7 linked regions of the Macaca fascicularis genome follow. The protein of the gene in region 3 interacts with the protein of the main gene of each other region in a pairwise test. Links are inferred from orthologs where the notes say so. Each region holds a gene or a part of one and is shown on either strand. Other genes may lie near its edges.

The links.
Region 1: the proteins of CEP70 (region 3) and NKAPD1 interact in binary tests that used the Homo sapiens proteins (3 or more experiments, as listed by UniProt). The two-hybrid records come from large-scale screens. The link is inferred for Macaca fascicularis from reciprocal best matches to the Homo sapiens genes CEP70 and NKAPD1.
Region 2: the proteins of CEP70 (region 3) and TTLL10 interact in binary tests that used the Homo sapiens proteins (3 or more experiments, as listed by UniProt). The two-hybrid records come from large-scale screens. The link is inferred for Macaca fascicularis from reciprocal best matches to the Homo sapiens genes CEP70 and TTLL10.
Region 4: the proteins of CEP70 (region 3) and FAM161A interact in binary tests that used the Homo sapiens proteins (3 or more experiments, as listed by UniProt). The two-hybrid records come from large-scale screens. The link is inferred for Macaca fascicularis from reciprocal best matches to the Homo sapiens genes CEP70 and FAM161A.
Region 5: the proteins of CEP70 (region 3) and ENKD1 interact in binary tests that used the Homo sapiens proteins (3 or more experiments, as listed by UniProt). The link is inferred for Macaca fascicularis from reciprocal best matches to the Homo sapiens genes CEP70 and ENKD1.
Region 6: the proteins of CEP70 (region 3) and protein BEX2 interact in binary tests that used the Homo sapiens proteins (3 or more experiments, as listed by UniProt). The two-hybrid records come from large-scale screens. The link is inferred for Macaca fascicularis from reciprocal best matches to the Homo sapiens genes CEP70 and BEX2.
Region 7: the proteins of CEP70 (region 3) and ZNF366 interact in binary tests that used the Homo sapiens proteins (3 or more experiments, as listed by UniProt). The link is inferred for Macaca fascicularis from reciprocal best matches to the Homo sapiens genes CEP70 and ZNF366.

What each region holds. Positions count from the first base shown.
Region 1 is NC_088388.1:111,004,893-111,009,502, reverse strand, and holds the start of NKAPD1 (uncharacterized protein NKAPD1), read right to left. Parts: upstream 3,024-4,610; 5' UTR 2,406-3,023; intron 1,758-2,405; 5' UTR 1,750-1,757; coding exon 1,681-1,749; intron 1-1,680. Other genes in the region: PIH1D2 (PIH1 domain-containing protein 2), read left to right, coding at 4,554-4,610.
Region 2 is NC_088375.1:233,578,203-233,582,014, forward strand, and holds the end of TTLL10 (protein polyglycylase TTLL10), read right to left. Parts: intron 2,258-3,812; coding exon 2,141-2,257; intron 1,789-2,140; coding exon 1,695-1,788; intron 1,183-1,694; coding exon 719-1,182; 3' UTR 701-718; downstream 1-700. UniProt on the Homo sapiens protein: Inactive polyglycylase.
Region 3 is NC_088376.1:41,433,787-41,438,508, forward strand, and holds the start of CEP70 (centrosomal protein of 70 kDa), read right to left. Parts: upstream 2,990-4,722; 5' UTR 2,413-2,989; intron 627-2,412; 5' UTR 533-626; coding exon of another isoform or gene 524-532; intron 1-523.
Region 4 is NC_088387.1:60,075,987-60,079,963, reverse strand, and holds part of FAM161A (protein FAM161A), read right to left. Parts: intron 1,126-3,977; coding exon 887-1,125; intron 1-886. UniProt on the Homo sapiens protein: Involved in ciliogenesis.
Region 5 is NC_088394.1:63,699,533-63,704,137, forward strand, and holds the start of ENKD1 (enkurin domain-containing protein 1), read right to left. Parts: upstream 3,187-4,605; 5' UTR 2,879-3,186; coding exon 2,794-2,878; intron 2,704-2,793; coding exon 2,509-2,703; intron 1,333-2,508; coding exon 1,160-1,332; intron 1-1,159. Other genes in the region: C20H16orf86 (uncharacterized protein C16orf86 homolog), read left to right, coding at 3,939-4,515. UniProt on the Homo sapiens protein: Microtubule-binding protein which regulates microtubule organization and stability. Promotes the stability of astral microtubules and facilitates the proper orientation of the mitotic spindle.
Region 6 is NC_088395.1:109,688,136-109,692,033, forward strand, and holds protein BEX2, read right to left. Parts: upstream 2,482-3,898; 5' UTR 2,075-2,481; coding exon 2,060-2,074; intron 1,911-2,059; coding exon 1,832-1,910; intron 1,458-1,831; coding exon 1,066-1,457; 3' UTR 823-1,065; downstream 1-822. UniProt on the Homo sapiens protein: Regulator of mitochondrial apoptosis and G1 cell cycle in breast cancer.
Region 7 is NC_088380.1:76,445,433-76,449,999, forward strand, and holds the start of ZNF366 (zinc finger protein 366), read right to left. Parts: upstream 3,084-4,567; 5' UTR 2,958-3,083; intron 1-2,957. UniProt on the Homo sapiens protein: Has transcriptional repression activity. Acts as a corepressor of ESR1; the function seems to involve CTBP1 and histone deacetylases.

The sequences.
Region 1 (4,610 bases), on a different chromosome or scaffold from region 3:
CACATTTTATTTCTAAGTCTTCCCGCATAATTTCATTAGATCTGTGCTAGATTTATCTTTTTCTAGTTGCCATTTTAAATCTAAGCTTACTATACAACCAGGGGCAGGTTAACATAATGGCACAGGCAGCTTGGGGTAACAGTTTTACCCTTGCCCATAATTTTAAAAATCAGGTGATATGATAGTAATAATATGATCAAACCAAAAGTAGTAGTTTACTGAAGAAAACTAAACCAGGTGCCTTGGCCCTCTTTTCATTATATGTGCTCTCCTAGGTGACCTCATCTACTCTCATGACCTCTTATCATCAACCTATACATCAATAATCCCAAAACCTTTATGTTCAGCCCCAACTTTTCTCCTCTACTCCAAGTCTGAATTTTCAACTGCTTGGACATCCTATAAGCACCTCACCATCAACATGCTGAAAACCAAATTACCTTTCCTATCATAATTGTCCCCTTTTTTGTTCTTTATCCCAATTAACAGAATCATCATCACCCACTCAGTCACATAGGTGGTTACACAGTTGACCTTGAACAACAGGGATCTCAACTGTGCAGGTCCACTTATCCTCAGATTTGCTTCCACCTCTGCCACCTGTGAGATAGCAAAACAAGCCCCTCTTCTTCCTCCTCAGCCTACTCAATGTGATTTTCTTAATAAAATGTTCTTTTCTCTAGCTACTTTACTATAAGAATACAGTATATAATACATGTAACATAAAAAATATGTGTTAATCCACTGTTTATGGTATTGCTATGGCTTTCAGTCAGTAGCAGGCTATTGGCACTTAAGTTTTGAGGGAGTAAAAAGTTATACATGGATTTTCGACTATTCAGGGGGTTGATGCCCCTAACCCCTGCATTGTTCAAGGGTCAACTGAATTAGATTCCATTCTTATCATTATCATCTAATTAGCCACCAAGTTCTTTGGACTCTATCTCCTAAATTCCTCTTCTTTATCCCTGCTGTCACTAATTTCACGCGAACCCTCATCACCTCTCACCTGTAATACTGCAATTGCCTCCTAATTAATCTCCCTATTGTTTCTCCCCATCTGATTCATTCCCCACCCATCTGACAAACCATCTTTCTAAAATATAACTATGATCATGTCACATCCTGTTTAAAAACATTTGATGGCTTCTTTACTGCCTAGAGGAAAAAGTCTCAGTTCCAAACATCACAATCCAACTCTAATGACCACTGAGGCCTTATCTTCTGCGCCTATCCCTTCATTCCCCGCTTTCTGGAAAATTTCTTGCCATGCCCTGAGTGATTAATGCTCTTTTTTGTTGCCATATTAATGCATGATGCTCTCTATCCAGAATGATCTTTCATACCTAGTAAGCTTATACTTATTCAAGAACCAGTTTAAATGTCAGCAGCTCAAATACCACTAATTCTGTAAAATCTTTTCTAATTCCCCGGGGTAGATTTTATTATTTCCTCCTTAGTGCTCCAAAGCACTTTGCAAATATCTCTGTTATACAGTACTTATCAAACTGTATTATAATTATCTATTGTATTCATCATTTTATTTCCTACTTTGTACAAAAGCTTTCAAAGACTAGATGACAAGAATATTCTTTGTATCTCCCAGTTGTGCCAAAATAATGCTTGGCACACTGCTTACTTTCAGTAAGCACTGAGGAGTAACTAGGTTGTACCTCCCACCTTATTGTGAGCATCTGTGTGCCGGATGACATTCCTCAGGAGAACTTTCCCCAGTGGAATCCGGGACATTCTTCAATCTGAAATGAATCAACAAATAACGTTTAGTAATAATTTATTTTATTACTTTATCTTTTCTTAAATTTTATAAAGAAGCATGAGGTAAAGGAAAGATCACTGAACTAGAAGTCAAAGATCCTAAATAATAGTTTTCCCTTTACCATTAAAAGAGGGAAATGCCTAAACACACTAATGTGAGATGAAAGGAGATAATGTACATTAAAGTTCTTTGAAAATGCACAAGACTGCATAAAATTAAGTGCTTTCATGAGCACCATTTTATTTAATCCTCATAACTATTTTTTATATGAGGCAAATATCTCCATCCCTATTTTGTAGATGAAGTTCCCTTAAACTTGTCATGCCCCAAGCCACATAGTCCCAGGCAAATGATGTATATCAATGTCTAGATTAAAAATCAAACCTCCAATCCCAATATTAGTTTGCAGTGAAGCAAATACGTAGATTTGAGAGTATCAGGAACCACAGGTGTCAACAGTAACAGAAACTGATGACTCAAAACATCAAATGCAAAGATGTCCTAAACTTCTCCATTTGGGAGCATTTTATTTCCTACTTGGTACGGAAGCTTCCAAAAACTAGATGACAAGAATATTTTCGTGTGTAGCTAGCACGGGCTTTGTGCAACCACCCCAACGCTCACTCACCCCTTGATCCTGAGGAAATCAGGCATCTTGTTAGTGAGACGAAGAACCACTCCATTACAAGATCTCCTCCGACCCAGGAAGCCAAGGAGTCAGGGCTCAAAGGCAGCTCTGCAGCTTCACCCGAGTCCTTCGTGAAAACGCAGCCTTCCCACTGGTTAATCTGCCCTCACCTGTGGCCCAGGCCACTGCCGCCTTTCCCCCAGCCCAGATCGACAGGCAGATCTCTCTCGCGGACTGAGGCCGGAGACTGAGCCGGCGCGGAATTCGGACAGCCCGGTTGACCCGGGCATTCCCCCCTCACGCTCCTCTGGGACGAACCCCGGGGGTAAGTTTCACTCCCCAGAAAGGATGGGAACGCTTTGGATGGCTATGGCCTTCGGTTGGGCGCCAGGAAGTATCTAGGGGGCCTGAAGCGGGGGTTGAGGTTTCCAAGTGGAAGACAGAGGAAATATCCCCATCTTTGTCACCGGGATCCCTGTCCCCCAGCGGCCTCGGAGCTCCCGGTAACCTCCCCTCCAAACGCCCTCCCCACACAAATACACACAAACACACCCATACCGTGCGCCGCTGCCTCGCGTGGCGGGGGGTAGGGGGGAAGAAGCGGTTTGGGAGAAAAAGGAGGAGACTTCCTTCTCAGGCCGGAAGTGGTGCTCCTGAGAAATAGTCCCACCAACAGGCAGCCCAGAGACTCCCAGAAGGGAGGGTTTTCAGGACACTCCAGAGGTTGACGGGTGCAGAAGGGAGGCGGGCGCTTTCCTGGAAGAGAAGTGGATCGGGCCCAACTGAAAAGCAAGCCTGGTACCAGAAGGGGGACATTCCGGAACTAGATATGAGGAGACTTTTCTGCCTGAAACTCCCCGGACCCAATTAGATGTTGTACCCAGGCTGGTTACCCTGGTAACAGGCGTCGCGGTTTGTCAAGGAGCTGAGAGAAGAGGTGGGTTTGCCAGCCTATAGAATGACTACCCGTTAGAACAGAGAAGAGGTGGGTTTGCAGACCTATGGAATGATTACCCGTTAGTTAAGCTTCCCATTTAGCGTAACCCTTACACAGTAGTTGAAGAATCTAAACCTTTTTGCCTCGTTCTAAAGATGCTGTGGGACACCTCTCCAATGGGAGAAGAGGCTCTGAAGACGTAGAGAAGTGTCCCAGCCTCTCTATTAGCTTCCTTAATCCTCGCAATAACCCTATGATAATATAGGTATTATCGTCTTCATTTTGAACAGAGTAAGAGGAATATATATATATGTATATGTATGTGTATGTGTATACACACACACACACACACACACACACACACACACACACACACACATTAATTGCTCAAGGTCATACAGCTAGTGAGAGATAGAACTAAGACCGGAATCTAGGCATTCTGGCTCGCAAGTCCATGCTTTGAATTACTAAACTATAATGAGGATTAAGGAAGTCTCATGTGGCCCTCACCCCATACACACCTCTGGCAATTTCAGAACTGGGGAGCCACCAGTCAGTGAGGTGTTGGAACAAGAAGATCAGGAAACCCAGATTTAAAATGATTGCTCTGACTTGTCAGGGTCCAAGTAGAAGTAAAGTCTTATCTGAGAGGACAATGTGAGAATTTAGGAAGAGGTACTAGATAATTAAAGAATAAGGAAAACATAAAGTGGTGCTGCTGATCCACAATCTTTTAGACACAAATGCTAAGTCCTAACTTCACCAAAACAATTCCTGGCCCATTCCGCCTCCCCAAAGCAGAAATGAATCAACAATTACACAGGGCCGGGCGTGGTGGCTCAAGCCTGTAATCCCAGCACTTTGGGAGGCCGAGACGGGCGGATCACAAGGTCAGGAGATCCAGACCATCCTGGCTAACACGGGGAAACCCCGTCTCTACTGAAAAATACAAAAAACTAGCCGGGCGAGGCGGCGGGCGCCTGTAGTCCCAGCTACTTGGGAGGCTGAGGCAGGAGAATGGCATAAACCCGGGAGGCGGAGCTTGCAGTGAGCTGAGATCCGGCCACTGCACTCCAGCCTGGGCGGCAGAGCGAGACTCCGTCTCAAAAAAAAAAAAAAAAAAAAAAAAAAAAAAAAATTACACAGACAGTTTTCTTCCCAAAGTCATGTCTTTCCACAGGCTTAAGAAAATTATTCACCACTCATCAGTCATGGAGACATCCTCAAAGGGTCTGCTCACCCAAGTTACTCAATTTTGGAACCTCCTA
Region 2 (3,812 bases), on a different chromosome or scaffold from region 3:
CCACACAGGGCTGACTGGGGCCTGGCCAGTGTGAGCTCAGCAAGTCTTCTGTGGGACCCTCCTGTTGGGGCCAGCTGCCCTGTGCCCCTCACCGCTGGCTAAGTCCTGGGGCCACTGTAGGAAGGTTGGGGGCTCGTGGAGCTGGAGCGCCAGGCCTGGGACTTGAAGGCCCAGGAAGGTTCTGTGCCGGGCGGGCTAGGGCGAGCCCTGTAGGTGCCCACGGCAGCCATCCTGGGCTCAAGGGGGGTCCTCCTTTGGAGCTCCAGCAGGGTTCAGAGGGGCCCATGGGGTCCAGACCCTTCCTGGGGACACCAGGCAATGGCGGATGCAGGCCAGGCCATGGGGGCCGTGGGGTCACAGGGCTGCAGGAGGGTCCTGGTGCTGAGGGGCTCAGGGTGATGGGCGGGAGCCCAGGATGGGGCAGCCCGGAAGGGAGCATAGGCCAGCTGTGGGGACCCCCCTTCCTCAGGACAGCCCCCCAGGACTGGGCCCAGCCGTGGAGACCCCTGTCCCTCAGCACAGTCTCCTCAGGGACAGGGCCCAGCCATGGAGTGGGGGCTACTGGGGCCTGGGGGCAGGGCCTGGGGGCTGGGGAAGTCCCAGGGGAGCATCTTTCAGGCCAGTGCCGGCGTGGTGGGGGGCGACCCCGGTGGGCATGGGCTCGGGGCGCTGAGGTGGCAGGACCGCTGCAGAGACCATGTTTGTAACAAAGTAGCCTTTATAGGTCCCTGAAGGCGGGCAGTGTGGCTGGGGCGTGGGGTGTGGGGCGTGGGTGGCCGCCCCAGGGCCTCGCGTTCTCGGGCTCCTTGCGTTCCTCCTTGGCTGTCCCCGGGGAAGGCTCTTGCTCCGGGTGCCTGTCGCCTATGCCCGGGGCCTGGGGCTGCCCATCGTGGGCGCTATCTGGGTCAGGACTGGGGCCGGGCAACTGGGGACGCTGCGGTGCCAAGGGAGGTGGCACAGGCCTGCGGGTGCCCGGCTGGTCTGGGGCACGCGGCGTGGGTGGCCCGGAGGACTTGGCCTGGCGGGTGGGCGGAGGCAGCCGTCGGCGGAGGCTGCAGGAGCCCCCCAGGCGCGGCCACACGTCGGCCTCTCCGTTGTGCAGGAGCACGAAGCGACGCTGGGACAGCAGAGGCAGCATCTTCTGGCCACGCAGGCTCTTCTGGAAGGTCTCCAGTGCCAGGTCTGGTGAAGGTGGGGGGGAGAGGGTAAATGGGGGGCAGAGGCTGGGACTGGGAGGAGCAGGAGGGGCGGGGAGGGTGTGGGGGGGGAGGGTGTGAGGTGCGGGGAGGGTGTGAAGGGTGGGAGGGTGTGAGGTGTGGGGAGGGTGTGAGGGGCGGGGAGGGTGTGAGGTGTGGGGAGGGTGTGAGGGGCGGGGAGGGTGTGAAGGGTGGGGAGGGTGTGAGGTGCGGGGAAGGTGTGAGGTGTGGGGAGGGTGTGAAGGGTGGGAGGGTGTGAGGTGTGGGGAGGGTGTGAGGGGCGGGGAGGGTGTGAGGGGCGGGGAGGGTGTGAGGGGCGGGGAGGGTGTGAGGGGTGGGGAGGGTGTGAGGGGTGGGGAAGGTGGGGGCTGGGGCGGTGCTGCCACACAGAAGGTGGAATAGCCCCATCTGTGGGGGTCCGAACTTGGGAAGAGGGCGGGTGGGCATTCAAGACTGGGCAGGCTGTGGGGGTGTGGGGTGGGGGCTTGGAGGGCTCACCCAGGGTCTCGATGACCACACCTGGGATGACCTCCTTCAGGACCTCGCAGTTGGTGTGCAGGGCTGGGTTGGAATTCATCTCCAGCAGCCATACCTGCACCAGATGCCAGTCAGACCCTCCCCACCTCGAGGCCACTGGGCCAGCAGGGCAGAGGCCCTGGTCCTCGTTCAGCCAGGTGGCTCTGGGAGATTGCTTCCTTTCTATAGCGTTGCTCCCCTGTTTGTCCACTGAAACTCTGAGGGTCTGAAGCTCTGGCCTGAGGGGCTGCCCTGAGGAGGGGGTGCAGGTCCGTCCCAGCTGCATAGGAGGTGAGCCTCGTGGATACATCCATCCCCAGGGCTGACTGCAGAGTCTGCCTGGGGCCTGCCAGTGTGGTTAGGGTGTGTGCAGATGGCCCCTGCCTCCTTGCATCTGCCTCCCGTGCCCCCGCCACCCAGGACAGCACCTTGAAGTTGTCATCAATCAGGAAGTCACAGCCGATGAGGTCAAAGTAACCCAGCTTGCACTCCAGCTTGGACTTGGCGGCCAGAAAGCAGTGGGCCATGATCTGCTGCATCCGCTTCTGCAGGGAGACAGGGAGGCATCCTGGCTGTGGCCTCTAGGCCCTGATCACACCCCAGGTCTGAAGAGCTACAGCCACGTCCCTCACCGGCACTCCCATCTGAACCCACACCTGTACAACCACACCTGCCCACACGTTCGTGCACTCAGCATCACAGGCTCACAGCCAGAAACTCAGTCAACAAAATCCTGGAGCTCCTGCCCTGTGCCAGGCCCTGGAGATACACGAGTGAGCAAAACTCACAAGAAATCTCTGCCCTGGAGCAGTTCTTTCATAGCAGAAGAGACGGATAGCAAATGGGATACATAAATCTCGAATCACCGTAAGAACGGTGAATTTTGTCGTTTTTTAATGTGCTCTGGTTTTTTTTTTTTTTTTTTTTTTTTTTTTGAGGCGGAGTCTTCACTCTGTCGCCCAGGCTGGAGTGCAGTGGCACCATCTCGGCTCACTGCAAGCTCCGCCTCCCGGGTTCGCGCCATTCTCCTGCCTCAGCCTCCCGAGTAGCTGGGACTACAGGCGCCCGCCACCGCGCCCGGCTAATTTTTTGTATTTTAGTAGAGACGGGGTTTCACCGTGTTAGCCAGGATGGTCTCGATCTCCTGACCTCGTGATCCGCCCGCCTCGGCCTCCCAAAGTGCAGGGATTACAGGCGTGAGCCACCGCGCCCGGCCAATGTGCTCTGGTTTTATCCTCTGCTCCCCAGCTCAGCTGTAGCCTCAAAAAACAACGGCGTGCATCCCCAGAACTGGAGATAGAAAAATAGACCTCATTTATGAAAAAAATTGTAATTATTTGTTTTCTTATGTCTGGTAGTTCTTTGGAAGATCCCACTTGAAAGGACTAACAGAAAGTAGGAGGGCCGGGTGTGTGGCTCACACCTGTAGTCCCAGCATTTTGGGAGGCCAAGGCAGGAGGATCACTTGAGCTCAGGAGTTTGAGACCAGCCTAGCCAACATGGTGAAACCCCATCTCTACTAAAAATACAAAAATTGGCCAGGCACATAGCTCACACCTGTAGTCCCAGCACTTTGGGAGGCCGAGGCGGGAAGATCACTTGAGCTCAGGAGTCTGAGATCAGCCTGGGCAATAAAGCGAGACCTTAGCTCTACAAAAAAATTAACAAAATTAGCTAAGCATGGTGGTGTGTGCCTGTAGTCCCACCTGCTTGGGAGGCTGAGGTGGGAGGACTGCTTGAGCCCAAGAGGCAGAGGCTGTGGTGAGCTGAGATTGTGCCACTGCACTCTAGCCTGGGCGACACAGTGAGACTGTCTAAAAAAAAGAAATATGAGGATGATGTCTCATCAAATAATAGAGAATATCGGTGAAGAGACAAAAATTACAAAAGAGAATCAAATAGAAATTCTGAAGTTGAAAAGTAGAACAAATAAAAAATTCACTAGGGCTCAACAGCAGATTTGAGTTGTTTGCAGATAGGCCAATTGAGATTATTTCGTCTGAGGAACAGAAAGAAGAAAGAGGCCGGGCGCAGTGGCTTCACGCCTATAATCCCAGCACTTTGGGAGGCCAAGGCAGGTGGATCGCTTGAAGTCAGGAG
Region 3 (4,722 bases):
TCTAAACAAGATAACTCATGTATATACAAATATTCCAATTTTTTTTTAATCCAAAAGTCCAAAACATAGTTCCAAGCATTGCAGATAAGGGATACTCAACCTGGAGAGCTCTGTAGCCAGACTGCCTGGGTTCAAATCATGGATTCTGCCACACAGTCAGGAGAGTACAGTACTAATCTCTGTGTGCTTCAATTTCCTCATCATAAAATGAGGATAATAAAAGTACTCAGCTCACAAATTAAAGATTAGGAGAGTTAATACAGAAAGAACATAAAGCATTGCCTGGCACACAGCAGGATGGAGACAGTGATTAGAGTTGGTGATCAGCTTTCTGTGTTATCTTAAGTAGGTACTTAACCTCTCTGAGCTTCAGCTTCTTTGCTAAGTTGTAAAATATCTACCTGATAGGATTATCAGGAAGTCCAAAGGAAATATATGTAATGAACCTAGTATAGTACTCAACAAATTACATACTTTTCCGTGGTCTCCCAACATCTGGAGTCATCCGTTACATTAGACATACCTCAGTCATAGCATACTACTCTTGCACTTTACACCTGGTCATTCAGGTTGATCTCAATGAAATGATCACCCAACGAGTCTCATGTCTGAAACTGGATCTTCATCTAGGTTTCAAAAAGATAAAAAGAAGAAAATCTTGAAATGTTCAGCTTCCTAGTAAGAATGGTCTTCTGTTACTCCCAGAGCAGGCATCCATGGTACTGGTAATCACAGATAAACCAGGCACAACTGAAATAACTGCTAATGCCCTTCCCAGCTCACTACCATACACCTCTTCCCTTCTCTTCTCTCCCCTTATCTTTCCTCTCCCTACCTTGCTAAGACATTTAGCTGGGTATCCAAATCTATCATCATCTATCATCAATTCTGACTTCCGGCTCCACAGGTAGGATATTCTCATTTGCAAGGATACTAAAATGAAGCATCCTCAGACAAACTACAACTGATCACAAAAGCAAACACAGGAACAAAACTACTCCTCATTTGCACCTGTGACCAAACCCTCCTTTTCAGAGGTCCATTCTATGAAATTAACAGGCCAATAGTTTGCAGCAGCCTTTTCCCCACTACAGGCTGTCCCTACTTCCAGGACAAAGGTCTGGAACTTTTAAAGTCACAGGAAGAGACCAAATGCCTTCTAGGGCCAAAACAGAAGCTACAGCTTTAATTAGTGTCATAATACACTTAAAATAAGATGGTGGGGGTAGGAGTCAGAGGGTAGGAGTTGTCTTGTACATGGCATAGTAAGCCAGGCATAGAAAAGCAAAAACATAATTGTATCTTCTGACACTTTCTAGGTTTCCCGAGTGTTTCAGCCAAATTGCCCTTTATAGGTCTGAAGTCCCTTGTAACATGCTCCATACCTTAAAATTTAATTATCTTTTCACCATTTGGGGTCGGGGAGGGGAGCTGACAATAAACCATGGCCAGTAACTGTTCCTTCTCAACTGAATCACAACAAAATCTGTAAGCGTCTTCAAAAGCATATACTTCAAATTACTGCAATAAATGAACATGTAACCCTTTCGAAGTCTCTATTCCTTATTAAATGCAAAAGCTCTATTCTGAAAATATGGCAACTTGCTGTTTAATGTTCCTAAGAAAGAGTTGAACCTACCCCAAATAGGAAAGAGTTAAAATGGAATGTCATCTCAACCAAATCATTCTGTCTCGCGAGAGGTGACATGAAGCGGCAGAACCTTGCTTTGAAGCAAAAGCTGTAGGGAAAACTCCAAGTCAGCCACCTCTTCCCCAAAAGGCAGGGTTAGGGGAGGCCAGAGTCTACTTGGCAATATTTAAAGTACAAAACTCATTGCAGAGGCTTGAAACCAATATGGATAATGCCTGCACAGTGTTTAATATAATATTCATACATATATATATATATATATATATATATTTTTTTTTTTTTTTTTTGATACGGAACCTCGCTCTCCAGGCTGGAGTGCAGTGGCACGATCTCAGCTCCCAGCAACCTCCGCCTCCCGAGTTCAAGCGATTCTCCTGCCTCAGCCTCCCGAGTTGCTGGATTACAGGCGCGCACCACCACGCCCGGCTAATTTTTGTATTTTTAGTAGAGACATGGTGGTTTCACCATGTTGGCCAGGGTGGTCTCGAACTCCTGACCTCAGGTGATCCGCTCACCTCGGCCTCCCAAAGTGCTGAGATTACAGGCGTGAGCCACTGCGCCCGGCCTGTTTAATATTAACAGTGATTGAAACACTGATTGAAAAACAGTGGCAGTAAAAAAGGAAACTCAGGTCTCTCTGTTACAGGTGTCTTAGCCTTCCGACATTTTTCACCTTGAAAAACTCCTATTAGGCCCTGTATAAAGTCAGAGGTCTCCTGAATCCGGAATGAGGTTAATAAACCAGAGAAAGAGATACTCACCTGTGCTATTCGCCTAACCGCCCCCTTCTGCTCCGAGTCCTCACTCCCCAAACCACCTTCGCGGTTGTTTGCCACAAAACGGGCGCTTCAGTCCGGGTCGATTTTGGGGGATGGAGTAATTACCTACAGCTTAAATCGAACCTGTGCCCGCTGTGATTCTAAGCTTTACTCTTACTGCCTCATTTAACCCACACAACCACTTTGTAAGGCGAGAATTACCAGCTTTAGTATACAAATAAAGAATCCGAGGCGCTGAGACATTAAAGGAGAAGCCAAAGAACACAAAGCCTGGGGAGCTGGGGCTAGCACGCAGGTTTGTCCCATCCCCAAACCCTTACGCAGGGATTTGTAATTGGCGCGACCCTATCCCAGGCGGCTCCTCCCTGACAAGGGTCAGTCTGACCACTGTTAGGCCCAGGTGAGGTCAAGTCCGGGGTGCTCCGAGAAGGGGCTCACGACTACACCTCTGAGAGCCCCGAGCGCCACTCACCTTCCTCAGTCGCCGCCTCCCACCAGCAGCCAGCCCGGCCCCGGCTAGGCTGGGATTACTACATCAGGCCCCGCCTCCGCGACCGTTACCTCCGCCGGGGAAGGGCGGCCAATCGAGCCCGAGCGCGTCGAGGGCCAGCCCCTCTTTAGCCTGCGAACGCCCCCAAACGATTCTCTCCAGCCTCACCCGGAAGCTGGGTCCGCCCCGCACCCTCCGGTTGGCTCAGCTACTGGGGGCGGGGCTTATCGCAAACGCAGGCGTCGGCTAGTCGTGGGCAAGCTGGCGTTTCCATCGCTCTCCTTAGGTACCCTGTCACTTACATGGAGCCTTATTTGCCTGGAAGATGTCAGACATACTTGTGGCCGTAGGTGAAAGTGAAGCCTGGGTTACCTGGCCTCCAGAGACTGCCCTCTCTCTCGCCCCCTACCCCGCCGCTACTACGAGCTCTTGCTGGGGTACGGGTCAGCATGTTCTCGATGTTCCAGACCTGGCTGACCACTGTAGCAGCTGACATTTGGAGGACCCCAATAAATGTTTGTTGATGACATTTCTTCCGATTCAGCATTTTCCACATCTCGACGAAGCTTCAGGCCCTACCTCAGGCTGTAAATGTCCACCATTTTGATTGTATCTTATAGCCACATGGTGTCGCTGTTGACAACCTGTCTTTTCAAATCAGTCAAATGATGTAGGTGTGCGTAGATGCAGATCCCACAGGAGCCAGCAGGGATGTCCCATCGAGGGCATCAGCCAACGGTCTCTCATCAGGAGGTCCAAGGGCTCTTGGAGCTCAATAGTTTCAGACCCTTCTTAGCATTCTTCCAGGCAGCTGGAACTACACTTAAGTTTAATCTCTGTGTTTGCCCCATACAAACATGTCCCTACCACAACCTACGCCCACCCACTGTGCTTTCTATACCTGGATATTCACTCTCACGATGGTTAGCAGATTTGCATTTTCAGTTCTCAAATCGCAAATAGTCTCAGTGCTTCCCTTTTCCAAGACAATAGGGTACCCTTGCATACTCTTCTGAGCATGGCTGCCCTAACTGTAGAGGCCAAACATCTTTGGGTCAGTTATGATTATTTTGGATGCATGTGATATGAAATCTGAGTTAAATTGTCTTCCTAAAAAATGAGGAAGTTGCTTATCTCGCATAACAGAAAGCCCAGAAGCAAGGGAGACTTTAATTCAGTGGCTCAGCAAGTTAACAAGGACCCAGTTGCTATTAGTCTCTGCTCTGTTGTATAAAAAAAAAAAAAAAAAAAAAAGGGTAGACTTCAAATTCATACTAACGTGATTTTCCAGATGTCTACTTGGAGAAATCAGGACCACATGCTTTCTTTTTCATCCAAAACCTTTCCTTCTGGTTTTTTGAGCCAATTAGGTCACACAGGTACGCACTCTTCCTCTTTACCAGTAACTGCCTGGGAAATGTACAGATAGCTTAAGCCTGGGTTCCAGAAGTGAAAGGGAGCTATGACAATTGGAATTGGCAATGGTGTCAGTGCTCTTAGGGTCACATGAGTTGCAAGGTGGAGACCTGTAAAGGAGAAGAGGAAAATGGATGCTAGATGGATGATCCCCAGTGTCTTTCACAATCTTCAAAGCACAAGAAGGCTGACTCCTCTCTATTTTCTAACTGAATTTTTTATGTGGTGAATGGAGGGGAAGAGGTGCTATAGCACTGCCCTCCAAAACAATTCCCTTCTTATGGATCATGAAAGCCTTTCCAGCACCTCTCTTTGCTAGAGAAGGAAAACATCCTGTACACAAATTTAGTCTTTCACTGAGAATCCTGCTACATTGGTCTCAAGAG
Region 4 (3,977 bases), on a different chromosome or scaffold from region 3:
AAGCCTAGATTACAAGCCCTTTGAGACTGGCATCTATCTTTTCAGTCTTACTCCTCACCACTGGCTACCCCAGTCTCCATTCTGCATTCATATCCAGTCCTGTGAAGTTCCTCACACACGATATTATTTCTCATGCCATCTTGCCTTTGCATACATGGTTGCTGCTGGCTAGAAGACCACTACTTATACCTCCTCCAAGACTGAACTCAGATGTGACACTTCAGTGGAAAATTCTGGCCTGCATCCCTCCAAAAGCTTGGCATAACCAACTGCTTCTTCCTCTGTAACACTCTGTTACATCATGCTGTAATGCAATTTTTGGTTCTCAGCTAGTCTCTAAGCTCCTTGAGGGCATCTTGTTTTTGACTCCTCAGTGCCCAGGCATAGTCTGGCATACAGGAGACATGCAAGCATCGCTGACTGACTAGATGTGTAAGTCTCAGAGCAGGTGAATTCACAGCAGAAATGGGTCTTGAAATTGCAGACTATTTTGAAAACATAAATCAGATACATGTCTCCTAGTTCTGAACTCTTTGTACTAGATCTTTAATGAGCTCATGTTAATCCACATATTATAAAGAGCTTTTAAAGTTAAACTTTTATGTTTACCATTTAAAATGGCCCAGACTAAGTATTTTGATACATGCCCTCAGTTCTATGGGTGGATCAGAGAGAAAAGACCAAATGGCCACCAAATGACCCTCAAGCAAAAGTCATCTAGTAAGCTGATAAGCCATTAAACATTTTGAAGAAAATCCTACCTCTGTATATCATTAAGAGTACAAAGGGCTACTTAAGAGAAAATATTCTGAAATAACTATGTTCTGTCCTTTTAAGGATACATTTTATTTTATACTCCACAAATAACTTTGAGTTACAAGCTTACCTGGAACCGTCACTAAGAGAGGCTTCCCTGATGACCACTGGCTGAACTTCCTTTAAATGTAATTTATCCTGGTACATTTTCTCTAATTTTGCCATAGTTTCTAGGTGGGCAGCCTTCAACTCTTCTACTTTCTTGAAATACTCCTCATTAGAGTGGTGAATACCAGGAAAGTTCACAAAGTCCTCAGAGCTTATTGGTGCATGTTCATCCACCCCAGAAAAGCTGGTGTTCAAATCAGCCTGGTGGGGAGAAAACACCTGTTATATGGTGACTGGAGCTGAAAGACAAATTAAGCTGACACTGATCCAAAATGCTGCTTCCTAAAGAGTCCACCTAGTTAGGTTATACGTTAATTATGGGTTATGCATATAGAATGAGTTACAGGTTATTTGTGTGTACATTTTCCCCAGTGATATTTTAAGAACAAGAGGGAGCGAGACCAAACTGTCAGAAAATAAATGTTATTTAATCCATTTGATAAAGGATGGTTAGATTCCCAGATCAACCAACAAAAGGTATAACAGGATAGAACCCAACAATTGTTTACAAAGTATTTCTATAAGGAGCCTCCTGAGTTGTAAGTTTTTTTTTGTTTTGTTTTGTTTTTTTGAGACAGAGTCTCGCTCTGTCGCTCAGGCTGGAGTGCAGTGGCGCCATCATGGCTCACTGCAAGCTCCGCCTCCACGGTTCACACCATTCTCCTGCCTCAGCCTCCCGAGTAGCTGGGACTACAGGCGCCCGCCACCGCACCTGGCTAATTTTGTGTATTTTTAGTAGAGACGGGGTTTCACTGTGTTAGCCAGGTTGGTCTCGATTTCCTGACCTCGTGATTCACCCGCCTCAGCCTCCCAAAGTGCTGGGATTACAGGCGTGAGCCACCGCGCCCGGCTTGAGTTGTAAGTCTTAACTGAGATGAAGAGGAACACAGTTCTTCCTGCTGCAAACCAGGCAACCACAGCCCAATGCTCTCCCTTCAGCTGCGCTTCTGAAGTGTGCCTCCAAGGACTGCCAGTGAGAGAAGGCAGGGAAATAGAGGGAATGGAGGCGGGGACAAAGTTCTCAGTGGCTTATCAAGGAGCCAGGGAGAAGCCCTCCTCACAGTGGGGCAAGACCTTGGGAGGGAGTAAGAGGACATGGGAGGGGGTAGGAGGGATTTTCAGGGCAGCTGCTCCTGTGGGCACAAAAGCAGTAGCTCCCATGGGTGACAGGGACTTTGGGATGACAACAAAGCAGAGAAGAAAAAATGGTGTAATTATTCAACACACAGATCATGTTTAGAAGGGTCTGACTGGCCTTTCTCCCTCACTCCCTTTACATACCTTTCAGGTTTTTTTTTTTTTTTTTTTTTTTCTGAGACAGAGTCTCACTCTGTCACCCAGACTGGAGTGCAGTGGTGTGATCTTGGCTCACTGCAACCTCTGCCTTCTCCTGCCTCAGTCTCCCGAGTAGCTGGGATTACAGGTGCCCACCACCACACCCAGCTAATTTTTGTATTTTAGTAGAGATGGGGTTTCACCATGTTAGCCAGGCTGGTCTCGGACTCCTGACCTCAGGTGATCCACTCACCTCAGCCTCTCAAAGTGCTGGGATTACAGGTGTGAGTCACTGTGCCCTACCCTTTCAGTTCTTTTAATTGAAGCAACTAAAGAGATAAAACCCCATTTTCTCTATAAATATACAATTTTTATTATGTTTTCAGTTGAGAAACAGTTGAAATTATTTATGATACTATGCATAAAAGACTGCCAACCACGGTTTTAAATTTAGTCTACTGTCTGGAACAGACGCAAAATGAAAAAATTTGCTACAGAAAATTATAGATCCAATCTGATAAGACTCTAGAAAATAAATCTGTTTAGCTTCTCTCAAAAGAAAAATTCAGAAGAGTCAATTATAAATAGTAGTTATAGATGTGGTGTTTTTGTTTCCCATTGGAGGCTTCTCAGAAGATATGGTGTTTTTTTAATGGGCTAAAATCAGTGTATAAGAGGACAATGTTGTACTATTTGGGGTAACTTAGAGAAAACAAGTTTTAAAAAATCAGTCTTCAGGGGCCAGGCGCGGTAGCTCATGCCTGTAATCCCAGCACTTTGGGAGGCCGAGGCAGGTGGTTCATGAGGTCAGGAGATGGAGACCATCCCGGCTAACACGGGAAAACCTCATCTCCACTAAAAATACAAAAAATCAGCTGGGCGTGGTGGCGGGCGCCTGTAGTCCCAGTTACTCGGGAGGCTGAGGCAGGAGAATGGCGTGAACCCGGGAGGCAGAGCTTGCAGTGAGCCAAGATCATGCCACTGCACTCCAGCCTGGGGCAACAGAGCAAGACTCTGTCTCCAAAAAAAAAAAAAATCAGTCTTCAATAGAACTTATATGTAGAAATTTGCTACTAACAACTCTATGAATCAGAACTGCTTTAAGTATGTCAAACAATTCAATTAAGAGAATTCTCTGATATCTTCTGCTGTTTCTGTATGTGCTTCTCACCATAAACTTCTTACCTGTAGGATGACTACTTTGTGAATTTCCTCATTCATTAAATATTTGGGGGCTATCTTGCAATCAGCTAGCTGCTAAAAGGTATGTCAGTTTTTTTTAAACTCTACCTTTGAGGCCAGGTGCAGTGGCTGACACCTACAATCCCAGCACTTTGGGAGGCCGAGGCAGCCAGATCACTTGAGGTCAGGAGTTTGAGACCAGCCTGGCCAACATGGTGAAACTTGTCTCTACTAAAAATACAAAAATTAGCCGGGCATGGTGGCACGTGCCTGTAGTCCCAGCTACTCAGGAGGCTGAGGCAGGAGAGTCACTTGAACCCAGGAGGTGGAGGTTGCAGTGAGCCAAGATCGTACCACAGCACTCCAGTTTAGGTGACAGAGCAAGACTCCGTCTCACTTAAAACAAACAAACAAACAAACAAAACTCTACCTTTGAGAAGTTTCCAGCTAGCTTAGGAAAGGACATGTATATAAATAATTGACAGATGACTTAGAACGAGACAGAACACCTGATTCCTGCCCACAAGTTACTTCCAGCTAAGTAGGGAGGCAGATGTACGTCACAATGTCAGATACTAAGAGACAGAGGCACAATT
Region 5 (4,605 bases), on a different chromosome or scaffold from region 3:
CCTCTTCCCTCTTCAAGAGACAGTTGTCCTCATCAGCACACAAACGTGTGAGTACGTCACATTTTTAAGAAAACAACAGGCCGGGCGCGGTGGCTCAAGCCTGTAATCCCAGCACTTTGGGAGGCCGAGACGGGCAGATCACGAGGTCAGGAGATCGAGACCATCCTGGCTAACACGGTGAAACCCCATCTCTACTAAAAAATACAAAAAACTAGCCGGGCGAAGTGGCGGGCGCCTGTGGTCCCAGCTACTCGGGAGGCTGAGGCAGGAGAATGGCGTAAAAAAAAAAAAACCCGGGAGGCAGAGCTTGCAGTGAGCTGAGATCCGGCCACTGCACTCCAGCCTGGGCGACAGAGTCAGACTCAGTCTCAAAAAAAAAAAAAAAAAAAAAAGAAAACAACAAACCATCTCTCCTTCCACCTCAGTACTGGCCCACCTACCACTCTCTTTCATCCTTCCTAGCCAAGCTTCCTGGCTCTAGCCCCGCAACGTTCCTGACGGCTGGCCTCCAAGTCCTCAAATCCAGGCGGTCACTTCCTTGGTCTCGTTGTCCTCAACCTGATCGTCAATAACTCCTGGGTCTCACTCCTGAGATCCAGGCCTGAATTTCCATCTGCTTCCTGGACACACTCCCACCCCCTGGGAGCCCCACAGATGCTTCAGCCCAGACACATTTGTGTGACCTTGCCTTTCCTCTCACTCCTGCTCCTCCTGCTGAGTCCCTGGATGGAAAGATGGTGCTACTCTCTACCCGAGACAGAGCCCCCCACCATACCCCTGCCCTTCCCACTGTCCTCAGAAATAAGGACTGAAAAGTGGCTTTTGTGGCCCCTGATGTGGGCCCAGCTGACTTCTTGGCCTAACTTCACGCCTTTCTTTCCTCACAGTGAACTGTACACCTGGCATCTCCACTGCTGCGTGCCCTGTGGTCTGTGAGTTTCCATCTTTTGGGAATGTTCTCCTCTGCTGTCCCCTTGACTAACTGCTGCTTGCCCCTGAGGATCAGCCCCGCCATCACCACTTCTGAGAAGCCCCCCAGCCTCGCCCTGCAGCAGAGCCAGGGTCTCTTAGTTCCCTCCCTCCCCAGAACTCGGATCAGGGTATAGCTGCCTGTTGGCCAACAAAAAGGATAATACTTCTGGCTCCCTGGAGCAGGTACCTGGAGCTGGGCCTTGACCTGGGACTCCACCTTATCGTACTTGGGTGAGCGCCACAGAGCTTTCAGGGGCCTGGGCTGTCCATGCTCTCGGCTGCGCTCCTGTTCTCTGAAGCGCTTCTGAATCTCCCTGATCCGCCTCAGGTTCTCCTTCTCATGGTCTTTAGGGTCCTTCCCTGGAGAAAAGATGCCACCAGTCTCTGCCCTACATAGGGCCCACACAATCCAACTTCCACTAGTTCACACACAGGCCTGCCCCCTGCCTCCTACAGAAAGAGTTCCCTTCCTCATGTAGTATTTCAGGATGACTGTCTCCATTATTATTATTACTATTTGAGACAGTGTCTCGCTCTGTCACCCAGGCTGGAGTACAGCGGCACGATCACAGCTCACTGCAGCCTTGACCTCCCCCGCTCAAGGGATCCTCCCACTTCAGCCTGCTGAGTAGCTGGGATTACAGACACACGCCACCACGCCAGGCTAATTTTTGTATTTTTTGTAGAGATGGGGTTTCACCATGTTGGCCAGGCTGGTTTCCATCTCCTGGGCTCAAGTGATCCGCCTGCCTGGACCTCCCAAAGTGCTGGGATTCCAGGAGTGAGCCACTGCGTCCGGGTGATTTTCTCCATTATTATAGTGAAGTATACCATAGATCATCTCATATATGACATTCATCTCCTGTTCTTTGTCTCCCACCTTGACTCAATGATGGCTCATGCTTATCTTCAACCCTGTGTTCTAGCACCTATATGGCCTGGCACACAGTGGGCACTCAACAAACAAATTTGACGGGTAATAAATGCACGAGCAGGCTGGGCGCAGTGGCTCAAGCCTCTAATCCCAGCACTTTGGGAGGCCGAAACGGGCGGATCACGAGGTCAGGAGATCGAGACCATCCTAGCTAACACGGTGAAACCCCGTCTCTACTAAAAATACAAAAACTTAGCTGGGCATGGTGGCGGGCGCCTGTAGTCCCAGCTACTCGGGAGGCTGAGGCAGGAGAATGGCGTGAACCCGGGAGGCGGAGCTTGCAGTGAGCTGAGATCCGGCCACTGCACTCCAGCCTGGGCGACAGAGCGAGACTCCGTCTCAAAAAATAAAAATAAATAAACAAACAAACAAACAAACAAACAAACAAATGCACGAAGCAGAGCTAGGGCTTCGTGGGAACTACCTTATTCAGTTCACTTCCTTCGAGAAGGTAGCACATTTCTCCCCCTTTTATAGTTGGGGAAACTGAGACTCAAGAGATGCAAAGCCTGGGCCCAGGTCAGGGCGGAAAGAGCAGCTGCTTTTGATCTCTTTCCACCCCGCATTGCCTCTCTGCCCCTTCTTCCATTCCTGGGACTTACTCTTAAGAGAGGCCCCAGGACCTAGGGAGATCCCCTCGAGTTGCAACAGCACGTCCCCGACGCCGCGCCGGCCGCGCTCCAGGATCTCTCGGGCACCGGGACCGATGCGGGGGCCACAGGGAGCGGTGGCGTCCAGGGCCCGGTCCGAGGTCAGCAAGTCCAGCTTCAGCGCGTTTCCCTCGAGGCGCCCTTGAGCTGTGGGGCGGAGCCGGGCGGAGTCCAGGACTCAGGTGGAGTCGGGGCCGACCCCTGAGCCTAGCACCACCGCCAAGCCCGCGGACTCACCCGAGGCCGGCCGCCGGTAGTAGTCAGGGCAGAGCGTCGGGTCTGGGGGGATGGGCCCCGAGATGCGGGACGGGCCCTCGCACATGCCGCCGGCACCGCCCAGCAACGGTGCCCCGAGGCCTGCAGGGCTGTGCACCTCCCTCCCCGGGCCCCCTTCCCCAACCCCGGGCCTCCTCCCTCGCCTGGGACCCTGACCCTGGCGTGCCCGTCACTCCCGGGCCCCTGCCGGTCCCTGCCTGGGCCCCGGCCTCGCTCGCCGCCTCCGCGACCTCTCCCCCCAGCCCACTTCTCGGTCCCGCTCGCGGCCTCTCCCCCGCGGCACTTGGGCAGGGGCTCACTCGAGAGGTTTTGCCGCCAGCCGCTGCCACCCGACGGGAGTTGTTGTTGCCGGGCAACCGTGGCTTCCGTCCCCGGGGTCAGGGCCCACTGACCCTGGCGCAAAGCGTCCTGGGGCTTGTAGTTTCCGCTGAGTGTGGGCTCCGCGGTCGCGGGTTTCGCTTCCCAGCTCTGCCCTCGCTTGCTGGCCCGTCTCCAGGGTCAGCGCGGGGCCACCATCCAGCCGCTCGGGGCCCTCCCCAAGCAGCTGTGGAGGATGCACTGAGCCTGCGCAGCCATGGCCTCGGCAGGGGCGGAGAGGCGGCCGGGGGTCCAGGAGGCTACGGTCGTGGGGCAGGGACAGCTCGCGGAGGACCCCGGCAGCGCTGAGACCTCCGAGGTGACCGTCAGGCTGTTTAACCTTCAAACAGGGGGCCGCAGCACTCTGAGAGGCGGAACTCTGAGCGCCCCGACCCGCTAACTGCCAGGCTGGGCCCTCCAGGCGGGGAGGGGCACAGGCTGGTGTCCTTATTCCCGTTTCGGTGTCTAATGTTAGGTGTTCAGTGACGGATCCCTATGTCCTTTGCCCGACCATGGTGACCGATGGCCTGTGTGTCACCTCTAGTGTCCAGTGGCGGAAGAACATTTCCTGGTGCCAGCCCATGAGGCCCGCGGAACCCAGGGTGAAGACCAGCGCCCAGCAGGCGCAGCTTCGGAGCTGGAGCTCCAGGAGGAAGGACCCAAGCTGGGGGAGGAGAGGCCCAAGCCGGAAGCCGGGGCGCTAGAGGAGAGAGGCCCCAGGCCCGTGGTCTCCATTGTGAGGCCCCGTCATGGTCCAAAGAGAAAGCCTGTCAAGTGAGGGGGCTCTGGGGGAGGAGGAGGGGAAGGAGCTGCAGGCCCGGGGTTGGGGCACACACCCCAGTAGCATTCCTGATTCCTGCACTCCTGCAGGAAGGATTCTTGTCCCCTGTCACTACCATCACTCTCCTCTCCCGTTCTTCCAGAGCCCCCATGTAGGGAGCAGCAGGAGAGTGGGAGCTTCAGGGTTTGTAGGGCACTGGGCTCACTGGCCTCTAAGCCTCTTGGGCCTGGGGCCTCATCGACCAGGAAAGGGGCAGGCGTCGAGTCCTGGGGCGGTGGGCAGGCTGGGGTATTCCCTGCGTCAGGTCTCTTGTCCCTGGCTCAGGTCCCTCAGCCTCCCGGGCCTTCGTGCCCATCCCAAGGCTGAAGCTGAGCTGCCACCCAGGCTGCCGCTGCAGGAGGAGGAGCCAGAGGGCAGCCAGAGTGAGCCCTCACCATCTGCCAAACAGCACAAAAAAGCCAAGAAGCGCAAGAGCCTGGGGGCTCCCGTGCTCCACGCTGTGGCCAGCACGGTGTCTGCACCCTTAGAGACATTGGGGCTGGAGCGTGAGTGGCAGTCCCTGGGCTGTTCCTTCTCCCTGTGGGGCCTGACATGGCACAACCTGGCGCTCTAGCCTCTGCCCTGCCCTGGGTCTT
Region 6 (3,898 bases), on a different chromosome or scaffold from region 3:
TCACACATCTTACATAGTCTGCTATACTGAGGAGGAGGTTTCCTGGGACAGAACTACCTGTAAGGAAAGAACTAGACAATGTTTTTCCATGAAACAAAGCAGGGAGAGGGGATTTGTTCACTCTTTTGTAGAGTAGAGCAAGGATTCAATCCACTGGAAATTCCAGAGAAATTGGTGGGACTTTCTCACTTTGAGGATTCCTGAACATCTGCAGTGGAAGGAGCCAGTGTAGGGAGCAAAACCTAGAAAACAGAGTAATACCCAGGGGAGATGATGAGAATAGAGCACAGCAGCAGAGGAATGAAAGTACCTACTCCTTAGCCCACTGGACTTGTGAATATAGGGAAGACCTCACCTTGGAGATTTCCTCTAATAACAGAAGGGAATATCTAAAGGGTTGGGTCATGCATGTCAGTAAGAACAAGAACTTGGGAGAAAGCTTACAACCTCATTACCTTTTCTGGTCCATACAATAAGCCTGGGAGGTGATTGTCTTCATCTTACTGATAAATATTATGATCTTCAAAGAGATGTGTCTCTCAAACATTTCTAAAAAGAGATCCCAGAAGCAAGTTAAAATTGAGATTCTGTCACAAGTGTTTATTAAGTGCTCACATTGCTTTTATAAGGTGGTCACATTGCTTTTTATAAGTAATACGTGTTCCATTTTAAAAAATAAGAAATTATGGATACGCAAGAATAAACTCCCTCTTAATTCTACCACAAAGATAAACACGATTTTCTATATATGTGTATATATGTGTACATATATGACTGTTTATGTTCATATTTAAGATTTAAAGTAAAAAAGAATGCAGAGAATGGTTTTTAAAACTGTTTTATTAACTTCACAATATATAATGAGCATCTTTCCATGCAGTAGGTAAAACTCCCCTGCTGACAGAAACTTACAAACTGGGTCAAAACAACATTCAGTTTGAAGCTGGTAATAGGAGACCCACAAGAAATAGGTAACATCAAAAGGTTTACGACAAAGGTACACCACAAATGTGTAAGTTTAGGAAGCTGGGGTCTCCCTATTAACTTCAGGGAAACCATCAGGATTCAGGGCATAAGGCAAAACTCATCGTGATGGTCATGGTGAGGGGGGTCAGTGCTGACTGCCCGCAGACTATGACTCAACTGTTTTTCCCTCAGCTTTTCCATCAGCTGTCTCACCTCCTCCCCAATCCTTTCCATATTCTCCTCTCTCATCCTTGCCTGTGGCTCTCCAAGCCTATGCATTATGTCCCATCTATACTGCAGGGTGGGCTGCCTAACACGGAACCGCCTACGATTTCCTCTAGGCACACAGTATTCATCAACATTCAAAGGGAGGGCCAAGGGCTCCCCTTTATTAGCAACTTGCTCCTTTTCATCTTTTTCATCATTTTCCTGGTTGACATTTTCCACGTTGAGATTGTTTAACGCTCGTTCCTCTTTGGACTCCATTACTCCTATGAGACAGAGAGAAAACGGACTCAATTCTTGGTGAACTGATCAGCACCGAGGACAGAGGCCCGACTACCCACCTTTCAAAATTCAGAGCCCTGGATTTCAAAGGCCTTTTTTAAATTTCATTTTTTTTCCCATCAGAGAGGCCCCGTGTACCCTCGGGGTGGGGGGGGGCAGTCCGCGCCCCTCTCTCCCGCAAAGCCCACCATCTTCTCTGCAGATCCATCTCCAGGCCTCTGCAGGCGCCAAAATGGAGGACGAAGAAGGGGTGGGGGTGGGGGATTGCGAAGCGTAGCAGTGAAGGCACCGACTGGGGTCCCAGACTGGGCTTTCGTCATGTTCTGACCCCCGCCCCGCCACCGTCCCTCGCACCGACCTGGGCCTATCCTTGCAGTCTCCTCCTCCTCCCGATTCTCGACGTGAGGTGCGTCGCCTCGACACTTAGCCTCGCAGACCTGCAGACGGCCGGGGTGGGAAGAGTGGAGGCTGCTGCAGCGGAACACTAGCGAGGACCCGCCGCCACCCGGCCCCTTCCCCGCGCCGGGCCCGGGCCCTCCTCGCCGCCCTCTCCCCGCGCCTCAGCCGCCCCGCCCCCCAAGCTGACCACCATTTTCTGCATCAAGAAGGGCGGAGCAGGGATCTCAGAAAAGATTGCGCTGGTGGCGGAGGCAGGTGCTTCAGAAGGGCCGTAGCCTCAGGACCGCAGCCTCAGGACCGCCGGCTCCCGCGGGGCCAGGCACTCCTCCGCTCACTAAAGGCTAGCGGTCCCGCGGCGGGGCCCCGGGGCTGCATCGTGCACCGGCTGCGTCTCAGCGCGGCTCCTCGGGGGTGGGGCATCCGCAGGCCGGGGCCGCTCCCCCACACCAACCCCAGGGACCCCCTCCGTCTCCCTTACCTGCTCCCCCTCCGCTTCCTGCTTTCGGGGCCGCACCTGGCCCGCACGTCCTCAGGGCCACCGGGAACAGGTACCACAGCCGAGAAAGGAGCGAGCGACGGCGGCTCCGACGCCAGAGCGAGGCAAGACTCAGTGTTGGCCGATCACGTGGGGCTGTTGTCATCGCCAGCGGCTCCGCCCCCGTCCCACGCTCCCTCCTGCAGCCTGGAGTCAGGTGGGACTTTCGGGCCCGCCCCCATCCTCACCGTGAGTCCCTTTTAACATCCCCAGCCTGGGCTCTGCCACTCTCCCTTCTCTTGTGTATTCTTGAGACTTCCCTTGCCTGCCCAGGAAGGACGGAAGGCATCTTCTCAGGGAGCTGTTGGCCATTCCCACTTCTCTGGGGACTTGCCTCTCTCTGCCCTTGGCTCCCAGGATTCACCTCCTTCTGCCTGTTAATTAATTTTTGACAAAGATGTCAAAGTAATTCGATATGGAAAGTATAGTCTTTTAAACAAATGGTGCTGAAATAACAGAATTCTTAAAGGAAAAACAGGAGCCTTGCCTTTTATCTATACTATACACAAATTAATTCAAAATGGTCATAAACCTAAATGTAAAAACTCAAATTAGAAAACTTCTAGAATAAAACATAGAGAAAAACTTTATAATCTTTGAGAAAACAATCCCTTAGGACAGAAAAAGAACAGATCACAAAAAAAAAAATGAGAAATTGGATTTATCAAAATTAAAAACTACCATTTAAACCACATGGTTAAGAAAATGAAGTGAGAAGCTGGGAGTAAATATTCACAATATGTGTATCTGACAGTGGGTTTGAATTCAGAGCATATATAAAGAACTTCGAAAACTCAAGAAGGCAAATAATAGATTTGAATAAACATTTCACAAAACTACATACACAAATTACCAACGAGCTCATGAAAAGATGCTCAACCTCATTAACTATCAGGGAAATGTAAAATAAAGCCAGAATGAAAAACCACTGCACACCCATTATAATTGCTGAACTTAAAATGTCTGACAGTCCCAAGCACTTTTGAAAATAGTAACAATAGAAACTCTCATTGATTGTTGGTGAGGGGTTCAACCACTCCAAGACTTGGTGGCAGTTTCTTAAAAAGTTAAACTTAGGCTTACCATATGTCCTAGAAATTCCACTTTTTGGAATTTTCCCAACAGATTTTAAAACATATTTTCTCAAAAATATTGGCATAGGAAAGTTCATAGAAATTTCCTTTATGATAGCCCCAAAGTTGATAAAAATCTAAATGTCCAACAAGTGAACTGATAAACAAATTGTGATGTATTCATACATTTTAAAGCTGCTAAGCAATAAAAAAGTGACAAGCTACTGATACAAACAGTAACATAGATGAATCTTAAAAAAATGAAAAAAAAAATTGTATCTATAAAGACACCAGCCACAATTGTTTTCTGCATGATTGCATTTATATAAGTTCTAAAACAGGCAAAACTAATCTGTACTGATATAAGTTGAATCAAATCAGTTTTTGCCTGGCTTGAAAGTTGGGGTTTTTCTGATTG
Region 7 (4,567 bases), on a different chromosome or scaffold from region 3:
TCTAGCCCTCCACAACCAGGGAAAAGGTCACCAATAACACAGAGCTCAAGCAGTTGGGGAAGTGGGTGAAAGGGAGAATAAAATGTCTACAATATAACTGAAGTCTCTTTGCACGTTCATCTACGTTGAAAACTTTTATCCCAAGACAAACTTGCCCCTGCATTGAGCTGTGTTGAATATAGCTGCATTCAATGAAGTTAAATCTGCCATTTCTGCCACTAGTGAAGATGAATGTCAATACACTAAACTCTACACTCTTTTATTTTATAAGAATTTAGAGTTCAGAATATCTTCACTCAATGTGTGCCCAACTCTAAAGCTGTGAGGAATAATATCTGCTCTGTCAGATCCTTGATATAGTATCAAGCAAGAATAATGACACAGATTATAGGAGACTCATTCTATTCTCTGTATTAACAAAATACAGTACTCTTAAGTGTTTTATATGACTCTTAAAAAGTATATAACTGACGCTGATTGACTCCTACTACTTGCCAAACATTATGTTAAGTGTTTTATGTCAATAGTTGTATTTAATCCTCACAACTCCATTATGTTGACGCAATTTTACATTTGGGGGCACTGAGACTTAGAACAGTTAAATACCTGCCCTGAGGGCCATAATCAGTAGGCAGTGAAGCTGAAATTCAAACCAAAATTAGTATAGCAACAGAGCCTGTGCTCTACTCACTCTAATTTGACTCACATCCCAGCACACAGATCTACAGGACACACATCCTAACATAACTTAAAATGTGCATAAGAAATTGTAATTTAGTTATGTGTACACTTTTGGCAGAAATTAACGAATAAAATATTGTGTGTCTCAAATTCTGGATCACTTCAAACTGGAATTCCCCCAATGATATCACAAAAGAGCCCTCTGATGACCCCCAAAGAATCACACACTGGAAGTTTCCACAGATGCCAACTCACTCCTTGGAGTTGAGTGAGTAAAGATAGATTGAGTGGTAGTGACTTAGACTAAACTAGTTGATGGCTTTTATTTTTCGGGTAGCCAAAATTCTTTTCCCCCGGTATCCAAGAAATATTTTCACAGCAATGACTTAACAACTTAAATGGAAATATTGAATACACTTTTTTCTTTAAAAGAAAACTGCATATCCTCAGCTTCTTAATCTCAAGCCACAGTGAATACTAATGCTAGCATTGGGGCTGTTTTCTGAGCCACTGGCCTACCCATCTTGTGCTTTCCTTGTCTTTAATTTAATTGCCTTCCTTGTCTTTAACAAATGACTCTGCTGTCATTTGTTTCCTATTGTGTTGCATCTGATGCTTTTACTCAATAAACAAAACTAGAATGTGTTCTGTGATGTTGTTTTTGTTGAGCACAAAATTCAATACATTATCAAGAGAAATGAAACTGAAAGGAGCAAGTCAAGATCGCAGACCTGCATTTTCTTCTGGGGCCACAGTTGCTGATAAATGATGCAAAAATGCCCTCGACAATCTATTCCAGCTACCTTTTGATCTGAAGATCTATGAAAATGAAGTAGTTAGGGGAGGTGGTAGGGTAGCTGTAAAAAATTTTCAATTGTTATTAGAATAATTTTGCATCCGCAAGCTGGCAAACACTATTCACGTCTCTTTATATTGCTCATTTTATGGTGCTCCTAAACAAAGTCTCTTAAAAAAAGGAGAAGAAAAAAGAGGTCTGACTAATGGAACAAAAGCTACATCACAGTCTAGTTCTATCATGTTTTCTCATCCTTAGTAAGATGATGGTTCAATTTTGAATAAAGATTAATTACTAGAATGTGGTTAAAGCATAGTCTAGCCAAATTAATTTTAAAAATGAGAGTCCAGCTATTTTTATCTTATTCTTCACATCCCAGATGATTTTAATCAGTAAATTTCATAGCAGTGAATATTTTTTAAAAGTATGCATGGCCATTGGCTTTTATCCATTCGACATCTCTCTGAATTAAAGTATCAATATTGGGAAACATAACGAGTCTCGCAGAGTGACCTTGCTGACCTATTTTTGACAACATGATTTCGGCTCCCTCATGGCTTGTGATGATGGGTTCCTGGTAACATTATCCTTTATGACAAATTTAATCGAAGCAAGTTAGACTTTTAAAAACAAGTTGTGTATATAAGCTTAACTAGCTTGCTATGCCCTCTTTGGTGCTTGGAAAACCAGGCACTGGGTGAATGTTTTTCAATTGCGTCTATAACTTAGTTTTTCCCACCTACTGACATAAACAATCCATCTTAATCCTCCCATTCTAGCTGCATATCGTTTTCCAAAACTAAAGCTATATGCCCCAAAACCTTTGCCTTCTGTCATGTGGCCGATGACATCTTCCACTGACAGAATAATAAATTTACACTCAACGCGCATGGGGAACCTGAACACATAAGCTCCCCACATGCAGAACTATTTCCAAGTGACATTCCCTTCTCTCTTTCCCTCCTACTTCAGTGATGCAGAATACCCATCATACAACAATTAACAGTCCTCCTTTAGGGGGATGCTGAATGGAAAGAAAAGAACAGGAGAAGGGCACCTCAATCCAGGCAACGTGTTAACAAAAACCCCAGAGCAAACCCACAGTCCTTGACAGATACCCTGATAAGATTCCCAGGACACAGTACTGAGGAAAAGCAAATTCTCCAGTGGGACACATCTCACATGCCAGTGGCTCCTGGTTCACCCAGCCACATGATCTGTGCCAAAATTCAGATTTAATGCAGTGTCCTCCTTAGTCCCAATGTAATTCTATTTCTAGTTCTGCAAGCCTTAGCTCTGCAAGGCATCAGTATTCTCTTACCAAAAAAAAAAGTATTAGCTTAAATTCTGGGCCATCTGTCACTCATATCCTTTGGTTAAGGACTATACCCAGTAAGGTATTTTCTGTTGAAGATGCCCACAGCAGTATCCACCCAGGAACCTTGAAATGGAAGCAGAAATGATTGCATGGGTAACTTACCAGCTCCTGAGGTCTGAATGGCTGCAGCAGCCCCACTCCTTTACCTGATCCCTGCTCTCTCTGTCTCTCTCCCTCTCTCTCTCCCTCTTTCTCTTGTGTACAGATTGCAGGGAACTTAAAGAACTCGCAGGGACAGTGTTTCGAATGACTTAAGAAAGAGAACAGGAACAATACTTCGTTCTCTTTTTCTCAGATGAGTACCTTCGGGAAGAAGGAAGGAAGGGAGGGGAGAGGGAGGAAGTCAACAACCCTTTGCTTTCCTGAAAAAAAATAAGGAAACAGAAGATAGACATCTCATTTTCTCTTAAACAAAATATTGGAAGGGGTAAAAAAAAAAAAAAAAAATCTTTGAAAAAAGGAATTCCTCAAATATGCTGTCTGCCCTGGGAGTTTTAAAGAGATGAAACGCCTTAGTGGCCTGGCCTGTCCAAACAAACGGTGTTCCAGACAGGCAGGCTCTCCTGAGCCCGCAGCCTCTGCTATCTGGTTTGCAGAACTGACACAGCCGAAAGGGAACAAATCATGTCATGTCGACTTAGAGCAAGGGAGAGCTTGGCCTGTTGTGCTAACCGAGGTAAACCTGCAGCCTGTAAGACAGTGTCGGGGCTGGTCAGCCAGGACTCCTGGCTTTTCCTAGGCCCTTTGAAACTCCAGCATTGCTGCAATTCCTCACTGACTCTAGATCCTCAGAGTTTTTCCAGGATCAAATAGCAGATTTATGCCCACCGAACTTTACGCAGTGGACTCAATCCAGCTTCCATCACTGATGGACGAAAAAGGAAAAGAAGCAACTAACCGCAACTGCTGCCGGACATGGTTATCTCAGATCTGTTGTTTATATTATTCTATCCTCTACATTCCTAAGGCTTCTTGGATTTAATCACCTCTGGAAAACTGGAAGGAGCTTTCTAATTTGTTTTCAAAATACTGCGAGGCAGCATAGGGCTTAGATAAATCAGCCACGGTGTTTGAAAAAAGATGGGGGAGGCAGGAGCAGAGAAAATGGAGGGCGCACCCTTTATCAAGGTAGAAGACTTGGGGCTTCAGCAGGCAGGCATGAGCTCTGCTTAGGTTTAGTTGCATTTAGGAATAAGCTTGGTTTTAACTTCTCTGATTTGTGTTATGTCTCTTGTGTCCCTCATTCATCTGGTTAGGACCATTTTCACTGTGAACAGGAACCAGCAGCTATGTAGACCTTTGTGGCAGCAAAAGAAAAACCAGCCTTACACTACTTCCTCATTTCACTCAATTGTGAAAAAAACGGGGTGGACAGATACACCTGATTGCAGAGAGTCATGAAAGTAAGTTAAGGGGAAGAATGATTCTGATTCAGTGACCCTGTAAGATTTTGACTGAGTCCTTATTGGCCTATAGGATTGTTTTTATTCTGACACATTTTTTCTATTATCTATCTATCTATCTATCATCTATCTATCTACCTATCTATCTATCTATCTATCATCTATCTATCTATCCATCCATCATCTATCTAATCTAGCTACATATCTATCTATCTCTCTGTCTACCTAGCTACCTGAATATGTGTGCATGTATTAGAGAGAGACATGAAGATTTTGTTACTCCGTAGGTGTGCACAAGCCAGGGCAGAG